Arabidopsis thaliana: one gene and its partner. The protein of the gene in region 2 interacts with the protein of the main gene of each other region in a biochemical or structural test. Each region holds a gene or a part of one and is shown on either strand. Other genes may lie near its edges. The genes, in order: CAM5 and WRKY21.

Evidence for each region.
Region 1: the proteins of WRKY21 (region 2) and CAM5 form a complex in vitro, tested with the Arabidopsis thaliana proteins (one study listed by BioGRID).

What each region holds. Positions count from the first base shown.
Region 1 is NC_003071.7:11,530,195-11,535,152, reverse strand, and holds CAM5 (calmodulin 5), read right to left. Parts: upstream 3,187-4,958; 5' UTR 3,085-3,186; coding exon 3,009-3,084; intron 2,467-3,008; coding exon 2,097-2,466; coding exon of another isoform or gene 2,093-2,096; exon of another isoform or gene 1,869-2,092; intron 1,077-1,868; coding exon 977-1,076; 3' UTR 795-976; downstream 1-794. Other genes in the region: PAG1 (20S proteasome alpha subunit G1), read left to right, coding at 3,989-4,398, 4,530-4,569, 4,879-4,958. UniProt on the Arabidopsis thaliana protein: Calmodulin mediates the control of a large number of enzymes, ion channels and other proteins by Ca(2+). Among the enzymes to be stimulated by the calmodulin-Ca(2+) complex are a number of protein kinases and phosphatases.
Region 2 is NC_003071.7:13,031,270-13,036,347, forward strand, and holds WRKY21 (WRKY DNA-binding protein 21), read left to right. Parts: upstream 1-2,148; 5' UTR 2,149-2,621; coding exon 2,622-3,493; intron 3,494-3,573; coding exon 3,574-3,699; intron 3,700-3,889; coding exon 3,890-4,034; 3' UTR 4,035-4,528; downstream 4,529-5,078.

The DNA of each region.
Region 1 (4,958 bases), 1.5 Mb from region 2:
TACTAAAGCGTTTTGCATGAATCCTAAAGCTTCACTTAATGTATATGCATGACCTTTCTTCACACAACTCTTTTTTCTTTTGTTTCTTATCCATAAGATTTCCATTTTGTCCCATACAAATTGAAGTATCATAGAGAAAGGGAACAATTAGTTGCATCTGACCAAAATATTCAACCGATTAATATACGCGATGGATTTTGTTTTCCGATATCGGTTGTTGCCATGTTAAATTCAAATTGGTATAAGTGTTTAATGTTTGATGCTAAGTGACACAAAGTGTTTCAATGCATTTGGTGTTATAAACTAGTATTTGGATATTATATTCTTAATCATAAGTTTTCTTAACGAGAGGCTTTTCGAATTCATGTACAATTTGCATTTCTTGATTTATTATGAAAATACTTAAATAGCAACTGATTAGAAAGACTTTTAAGTTTAGGTTTAGTTCCTAAAAAAGTATTTTCTTTGTTTTAATTGTATTATCATCTCACAAGAATTAGACCATATGCCCGCCCACATTGTTGATAGATAGCAAATGCCTAACGCCTAAATCAACTGATAAATTATAACAGTTAGATCGCCAGAGTATTAGTTAAAGTCTCCTAATATTGGTCGTGTATCTTTTCTGAGTTTTCTCTTGCTAATATCTTAAAAACATTGTGATAGTGTTTCTGTACTAGTGCCACCGTCGTATCATAACTCGGATTTAGTGTTGTCGCTATATACTTGGATTCAAGTTTGATAAGTGTGCGTATGTTGTAGACGAAAATTAAACATTGTGGTAGATAGGAAATGCCTAAATGAACTTACTATATTGATAGTACTTTAAAACTTTTTATATAACAGTATAGTAAATATTTAACATATTCAAACAAGATATGACATTTAAAATCCGTTTAATGGGTGTGAGAGGTACAAATCTCTTATTGCACACAAACATATAAAGAAAAGGAATTAAGAAGCAAATGGTCGGAGCTCAGAGAATACGGCAGTGACTTTTCCGGCGACCATTCTTTTCTTTGTATTCAGCAGAATTGCTACTACGCTTTGCTGCCATAACTCTCTTCCCTCTTCTCCTAATAAATTACACACATTTTAAAATAATTAGGTATCAAGATTTTCGATAATATTTAAAAGAAAAAGAAGAAACTAAGCCTTGTAACAAAAAAAAGTAAAAATAAAAAATACTGGTTACCAACAAAAAAGTTCAGTCATAATTAAAGGTTTGGAGATTCTCATTTCATCTATCTAGCTTTTGCTACTTACCATCCATTTTTGATTTTATTCCCCAAAACATATCTGCCTTTTAATTTAAACAATTACGTTCTACCTCACGAATAACTACTGTATGCATACACCACTTTTTATATGTTTTTGTTAAAATGTAGAATATATTGAATCAAGAAAAACACGAATGTTATTTACAAAGCTGAAAGTTGAAGTGGGGAAAAAGAGAACTGAAGCTTGAAAACTTTTGAAAGAAAAAATGAAATGGAAGTTATGTTTTTCTTTAACCCTTTTTCGTATTTCCTAAATTTTATCTCTTGTTTTAATCGTTACAAATGATAATACTTTTTTCTAACAGTTTACTTATTTTCTTATATGAACCGTAAAATAAGAAAAACATATTTTAATTTGACTCAAATTATATGGATTATTGCCAACATTCCTCTAAAAAATAGGGGAATTTCCAAATTGACCAACAATTTAAAAATAAATAAAAAATTCTAAGCTTTTAAAACTACCGATATAATGTTTTCAGACATTTTTCCTACAAATTTTAATCACACAAATAACCCTTTTTTTTTTTAACAAACATTGCAAACTATAAAATACAATAAAATAAAAAAGTACTAATACCAAGAGATAGCTTTTTCAACGACCATTACAATGGTACTTCACATAATATAAAATAAACTAAAAACTTCCAAACAAATAATTTAACCCAAAGTCACAAAATAGTTCATAACATGAAATTTGGGACGAATGCATAATAATGAACAGTCAAACATAGAATAAAGCAATAATCAGAGTTGTTCAATTCAAAAAAAGAAAGAAAGAAAAAGAGAGAAAAGATATGAGAATAGTTTCCTCACTTTGCCATCATAACTTTGACAAACTCTTCATAATTGATCTGACCATCTCCATCAACATCAGCTTCTTTGATCATCTCATCAACTTCTTCATCAGTTAACTTCTCACCAAGATTTGTCATTACATGTCTTAACTCAGCTGCCGAGATGAAACCGTTCTGGTCCTTATCGAAAACCCTGAAAGCTTCTTTGAGCTCTTCTTCAGAGTCAGTGTCCTTCATCTTCCTAGCCATTAGGTTCAGAAACTCAGGGAAGTCTATGGTTCCGTTACCATCAGCATCTACTTCGTTTATCATATCTTGTAACTCTGCTTCTGTTGGATTTTGACCTAATGATCTCATCACTGTTCCTAGCTCTTTCGTTGTGATGCAACCTAAACACAAAACCACACATTTCTCTCAAATCAGTAACAGATTTTAACACCAAATCTTCAAATTTTCATTGTAATTTACTCTAATAACACACAAAATCTTCAAATTTCATTTTAGTTACTCTAACAACTGTATCAAATGAACACAAAATCTTCAAATTTCATTGTAACCTACTCAAATAACTGAATCAATTAAACAAAAAATCTACAAATGTCAATGTAATCTACTTCGATTATTGAATTCTAAGATTTGTGTCAATTCTAATCACAATTAGTAAAATCTGGAAGACTAAAACACGATTAAGTTAGAGATTATTATCGAGATAGATCCGATTGCGATTATAATTTATAATCAACGAACGATAAAGATATCATCAAATCTCGCGTTTAATGTTAATGTGAATATCCAGAGATTTTATGGACAACGAAGAGCATCAAATTCCTAAAGCCAAGACTAAGTGATACTCAAAACACCAAAAAAAACGCAAGTGAGTCTATTATGAATGAAAATTATACAAAAGAGGAAAGATCTGAGAGAGAAGAACCATCTCCGTCTTTGTCGAAAAGGCTAAAAGCTTCCTTGAACTCAGAGATCTGATCATCGGTGAGCTGATCTGCCATTTTTTGGTTTAGATGAGAAAGAGAGAAGAAGAAGAAGAAGAAGAATCAACGTTGGTGTGTGTAATGAGAGGATTGTTGTGTGGAATTATAAAGAAGGAAAAAGAAAAGGCCCATTAGGCCCAATAACAATAATTTCGAATCTGATTCTCTTTTTTATTCTTCTTTTGTTTTGTTCTCCACTGGGCCTTATTGTGTTTTCAATTCGACTAGCTTTACTTAAGAGGGAGGTGATGTATATATTCCCTTGTGAAAAGAAATAGTATTGTTGTTTTGCCGACAACCATTTACATGCTTTGAATGGTTTAGTTCATATAAGTTACTGATCTTACCATGCGTACCAATACTAAGTATTCAACGAGTTGGTAGAATGGGATTACTAGTGATATAAAACGGTAAAAAAGGTTTAGCTTTGTGTTTACCATGGATTTTAAACTACTTTTTAATTAAGTTAACCAAAGAAAAAGTTTTAGCATTATAAGAAAATTTAGAAATAGTAGTACTTTTTATTTACTGTTTTTGTAATTAATAATCATCTAGGAGTTAGGACAAAAATCACTACTTTGTTGTTGGAAGGGTCACCTAATGGGTAGTTAAGCATCATGACCTTCACTTAAAGATTTGATATTAAACAAGATCCAGTTTTCGCAAAACTGTCATACTTTTTTGATCGCCACAACTATGTCTCTCAGTTTGGCTAGAGATGTAGTAAAAAACAAACTTATTGTATCCATCACAATTATAGGTAATTTACTGTCTTGGTTTTAAAAACATGTAATGTTGAGCATCCCAAAGTTTGTGTGTCCCAATGCTAGAGCATATTATAGTCTTACCTCTAGTGAGTTCATAAAGAAGTGTTGTATGATCATATATTTTGTTGAGTAAGAGAAATATTTCTTTCTTCCTCATGTGGTTGATTATTCAAAATTATACAAAAGAGGAAAATCACTTAAAAATATTCACGATACCGTTAAAAGATTACCAAAGAATGGGCCAAATCATAATATTAATAAAGCCCGTTAATAACCGAATCGACCCACCCGACAAAACAACCCGAATCGTTTTAATATCCAACCCGGAGTCAGACGGAGCTCCAAAGATTTGGCTTGTCTCTGGCTTGAGAACAAAGAAAACCCCTTTCTTCGATCTCAGCTTAAATCACTCGACGAAGAAGAAATCAGAAAAGAGTCAGAGAAAAAAAAAATCAAGGAAGATGAGTAGCATTGGAACTGGGTACGATCTCTCCGTCACCACTTTCTCTCCCGATGGCCGTGTTTTCCAGATCGAGTACGCCGCTAAAGCTGTCGACAACAGTGGGTTAGTTGGCTTTATCTTCTTCGATCTTCGCCCTTTAGTAGATCGGATTTAGCTTCTGAAAACTTTGAGATTTTGGTTATCGACACGAATTAGGGTTTGTTAAAAGTCTTTCCCTTTTTTTTTCTTCGCAGGACTGTTGTTGGAATCAAGTGCAAAGATGGGATTGTTATGGTTTGATTCTTCCTCCTTCCTCTATTGATTTTTATACTACTTTGTCACTTTCTTCAGTGGGTTTAGTCTCTCGTGCTGTGATTTAACCTTGGAATGAAGTATTCACATTTTTGTTATCAGAATTGTAGATTTGATGTAATATATACCGTGTAAATTTTGACCCAAGATGACACATTTTACAGTCCCTTAGTTTCATTTCCTGTTCGATATGTTGTGAATCTGTTGTTAGTTTTGGGTTTTGTAAGATTTTACGCAGATTTTTGATAAAGGAATGGTCTTGCTAAGTGTTTATCATTTGGTGGTTTTTAGGGAGTTGAGAAACTTATTGCATCAAAGATGATGCTACCAGGTTCCAACAGGAGAATCCATTCTGTTCATCGTCATGCTGG
Region 2 (5,078 bases):
AATTTTTCATAAATTCCCTTATAGACAAAGTCTTATAATTTTGTTAAATTCCGCATATATTTTACCAAAACTTTGTCGAATGGAAAGACACGTCAAATGTGCTAATTAGAAACTGTTGTATTGAGATTTCAAGAGGAATCAATAATAAGGTACTACTAGGGTTTTATTTCAATTAGGTTTGAATCTTGGGTCATTGTGACGAATAAATTATCTACTTGTCGATTTTCTACAAAAAGCACACATGAATTAGATTCAACGTGGCCAATTCATCTAACATATGTTACTAAAACAAGCGCAATAGACGAGTTGGCGTAATTTTATTTTATACTATCTATAAAGTAACGTATGATTCGTCTATCACCAATTATCTTGTAAATGATGGTAAAATGTCTAAATTCGTTTGTCGCTTAATAATGATGATGATATACGTTACTTTAATTAAAAAAAGCGAATTTTCGATAGATACTCTATTAACTAAGCATGCACATATCACGTTGTGATTGATTTATGCCTAGTAAATAAAATTTATCTCCAGCAAGAATAATTGAAACTTCATAACTAATTTTGAATGCTAAAATGTTAAATTGATATATGGGAAACAAGTTATGATACTCAAGAAGTCACCAATATCTAGTATTGGAATCGCTGTGGTGTTTGTTTGTAGATATTTTTCTACATTTAGCAATGTATTACATTATGATTGCAAGAGGAAGCAATATTAAGGTATTAATAAGGTTTTTACTTTTACCGGGTTAGAATTTTGGGTTTGTTTATTGGATGAAGAAATTATCCACTTGTCGATCTTTCATAAAAAGCACACGTGAATTAGTTTCGACATAGTTATATAGTTCTCCTAATATACGTTATTTGAACAAGAATACTTGACTAGTTGATGTAACGATGTTTTCTTAACGTTTCAAAAGTAACGTACGATTCTTCCATAACCAAATGTCTTGTATATAATGGTAGAATATATATTTTGTTTTGTCGCCTAATGATTATGATGTGCGTTACTTTAATTTAGAAAGCGGACTATTTAAAAACTGCTATATTGAAACCGCAAGAGAAAGCAATAGTAAGGTATTAATATGGTTTTACTTCAGCCAGATTTAAACCACCAACAATACTTTAAACCATTGGTCGATCTTTCACCACAAAAACCACACGTGAATTAGATTCGGTGTGGCTAGTTCCCTAAACATACGTTACTAGAACAAGCGCACTTGACTAGTTGGCGTGACGATGTCTTTCTTACTAATTTAAAAGTAACGTATGATTCGTCCATTACCAATTGTCATATACCTAATATAAAATATAAATTCGTTTGTCGCTTAATAATGATAACATGCGTTACTTTATGTTAAAAAGCCAATTTTCGATAGATTTTCTATTAATTGTAACGTTATAATTCATTATACATAACAAAAAAAATCTTCAACAATAATATATTGAAATTTCATAACTAATGGATGCTAAAATGTTAGATTAATAGATAGAGAAAACTTATAATACTCAAAACATTTAACACCAAAATTTCCAATATCTAGTAATGGAAATGTAATGTTTGTTAGTATATAAATTTCTGCATTTAGCAACACTTATGCTTAAAAACACATCATTGATCCGTAGAATAAAAAGACACCTCAAGTGTACTAAGTAACCGTTAGAAACTGCGTAAAAAAGTTTGGTACCACTTTTTCTTTTACTTTTTTTGTTTTGTCAAGTTACTTATCAAAAACTTGGAAATTAACTTTCTCTCTTTTTTTTTAAACTCGTGAATAACAATGAAACATTCGTATATTTTTATATCATAAAAGAAAACAATACGGTATTATATGAACAAAAAAAACTTAAAGATAAAAGAGGTCAACAAAATGTCCGAAGTATGATGATGCTAAGTTTGATTAGTTATCTTTTTTATGTCAGAGAACAATTAAATTTGTTTTATTATTATACTAAAAGAAGAAAAACCTAAACTGCAAAAATAATAATTACGACCCGAGTCTTCGAGTAGGACCCACCTCTGAATCTGTGACAGACGCCGGTTTCGTTCTCTCTCTCTCCTTTTTTTCCTCTCTTTGCTTTTCCAAAAAATAAAGTTGTCTTTTTTTATTTATAATAAAATGATTTGTTGTTTCACAGTGTGTTGTTTGTTTTGGGGTAAAAAAGAAAATCATAAGGATGCTTTCAATATTTGTTTTGTTTTGGTTGAGTGATTGCTGAAGCCAACTTAAAAGAGAGAGAAGAGAAGAGTGACTCTGTGTGTGTGTGCAAGAAAGTCTTCTCTTTCACACCTTTCGTTTTCTCGAACCTCTCCTTTAAAGATGGTGGAGGAATCTTGGGTTTGACAACTCATTAACACTGACCCTCTTTTTAGCTCTACAAGCATCCAAGGAACCCCTCTTACTTTTCCCTCTTCTTCATTCCCTCTCTCTCTATATCTCCCAATTCCTTCTCTTTTTTTAACCTTGATCTTCTTCTTATAAGAGACTCAGAGCTGTTCTTCAAGATGGGATTGTGTAAGCTTGAAACTTGACTATCTGGGTCTCTCCCATTTTCTGTTCTCTTTTGTATTCTGAGTGAAAGTTTTGTTTTCTGGGGGAAAAAATTAGGGTTCTTAGATGGAGGAGATAGAAGGAACAAACAGAGCAGCTGTTGAGAGTTGTCATAGAGTTCTTAATCTTTTACATAGATCACAGCAACAAGATCATGTTGGTTTTGAAAAGAATTTAGTATCTGAAACTAGAGAAGCTGTGATTAGGTTCAAGAGAGTTGGGAGTTTGTTAAGCAGTAGTGTTGGTCATGCTAGGTTTAGAAGAGCTAAGAAACTTCAGAGTCATGTCTCTCAAAGTCTCTTACTTGATCCATGTCAACAAAGGACAACAGAAGTTCCATCATCATCTTCTCAGAAAACACCGGTACTCCGGTCTGGTTTCCAGGAATTGAGCTTGAGACAACCTTCAGATTCACTCACTTTAGGGACTCGCTCTTTTAGTTTAAACTCAAATGCTAAAGCTCCTCTCCTTCAGCTTAATCAGCAGACAATGCCTCCTTCGAATTATCCTACTTTGTTTCCAGTACAACAACAACAACAACAACAACAACAACAACAACAGCAGGAGCAGCAGCAGCAGCAGCAGCAGCAACAGCAACAGTTTCATGAACGGTTACAAGCTCACCATCTTCATCAGCAACAGCAGCTACAGAAACATCAAGCTGAGCTTATGCTTAGGAAATGCAATGGTGGGATAAGTTTGAGTTTCGATAACTCTAGTTGTACTCCAACTATGTCATCCACTAGGTCCTTTGTTTCTTCACTTAGCATAGATGGTAGTGTTGCTAATATAGAGGGAAAGAACTCCTTCCATTTTGGGGTTCCTAGTTCAACTGATCAGAATTCACTACATTCTAAGAGGAAATGCCCCTTGAAAGGAGATGAACATGGAAGCTTAAAATGCGGGAGCTCTAGCCGATGCCACTGCGCTAAGAAGAGGTCAGTTCCATATTTTTGTTTCGTTTTCATAGCCTCTCTTTACTAAGATGGTGTAGTTAATCTGATTGGGAAATTGACAGGAAACATCGGGTTAGGAGATCGATTAGAGTACCGGCTATAAGTAACAAGGTTGCAGATATCCCTCCTGATGATTATTCATGGCGAAAATATGGTCAGAAGCCCATCAAGGGCTCTCCTTATCCCAGGTATACACTTCTTGATCATATTTTGTTATGTTAAGAAGTGATAAAGATTGATGTCACATGCAAAGAACCATCCTTTTAACATTAAGGCTTTTGAGTTTTGATGAGAAAAAAGAGTCTAAAAATGGCTAAGAGATGACACAAGTAAGATGAGTCCTTTTAAGGAAGTGTTGTATTGGATTTTTGTGTGCAGAGGATATTACAAATGTAGTAGCATGAGAGGTTGTCCAGCGAGGAAGCATGTTGAGAGATGTTTGGAAGATCCGGCAATGCTTATTGTTACTTATGAAGCAGAGCATAACCACCCGAAATTGCCATCTCAAGCTATAACAACTTAACTCTCGTTTATCTTTGCGGTCCAGCATAAACCTTCTCATGTATGTTGTTCTCTTTTGTGCGCGATGATCGGCTTTGGGGTTGCTGCAATGTTGTGATATATGGATCGGGGTAAGTGCTTTTGTTGGGGTGGATTTGCTTGTGAGAGTTTGCTGCAATTGTTGGATTTTGAGCTATATATGGGGTAAATGTAGGATTGGTCAAGACTCTTTTTCTGTTTCTCAAGTTTATTGGTCTTAATGATTAAAAGTTTAATGGTTTGTTTCTGGCTATGTATCTTTTTTTTCTTCTCAAGTGGCTTTTTCTTTTATGATTGGTACTGTTAGAATTTGGAGATTGTTGCTAAGTAACTTAATCATTTAGCAAGGTAGCTTAAATCTAAGATGATTAGGGATAAAGAATATTGGATTCTGTTCTGAGTTTAGAGAATATTGGATTCTGTTCTGAGTTTAGAGAATATTGAATTCATGTATCAAGCATAATGAATGAAACTTATTTTAAGACAAAATTGAGTTTGAGATTCCATTTTAGGAATAGACAACAAGTCTACAAAGTGCTCACTTATGTACTAATATAAGAATTCACTAAGTTAGTAAACCTATCATTAATCCCGAAAATGTTAAGTAGTTTGATGAAAATCAGAAGTATGCGTAAAATAATAACAAAGAATGAGAAAATCTGACACGTTTAAGCGCATTTTTGGTAAATTTAATCTGAATATTCATCTCATTCTTTTTTAAAGAACACTTACACTAATTACATTCCCTTTTCTTCTCCATTTATCATGTATTTTATATAATATTCTCATCTAAAAGATCATTCTCATTAATAGTATAGATTATTTAAAAGTGGGTGTTGAAACCTACAAAATAAAATTAAAACACATTTCAAAACTTTAAAATGGATGTCTCTTACATATGTAACAGAAATCACATTGTCCAACTATCTACTATACTTATGTGAAAAAAACATACATATGCCCAAAATTGTTATCAAACCAAAATGTTCTGGAAATAGCCCATTGGACATCTATTTATAAAATTGCA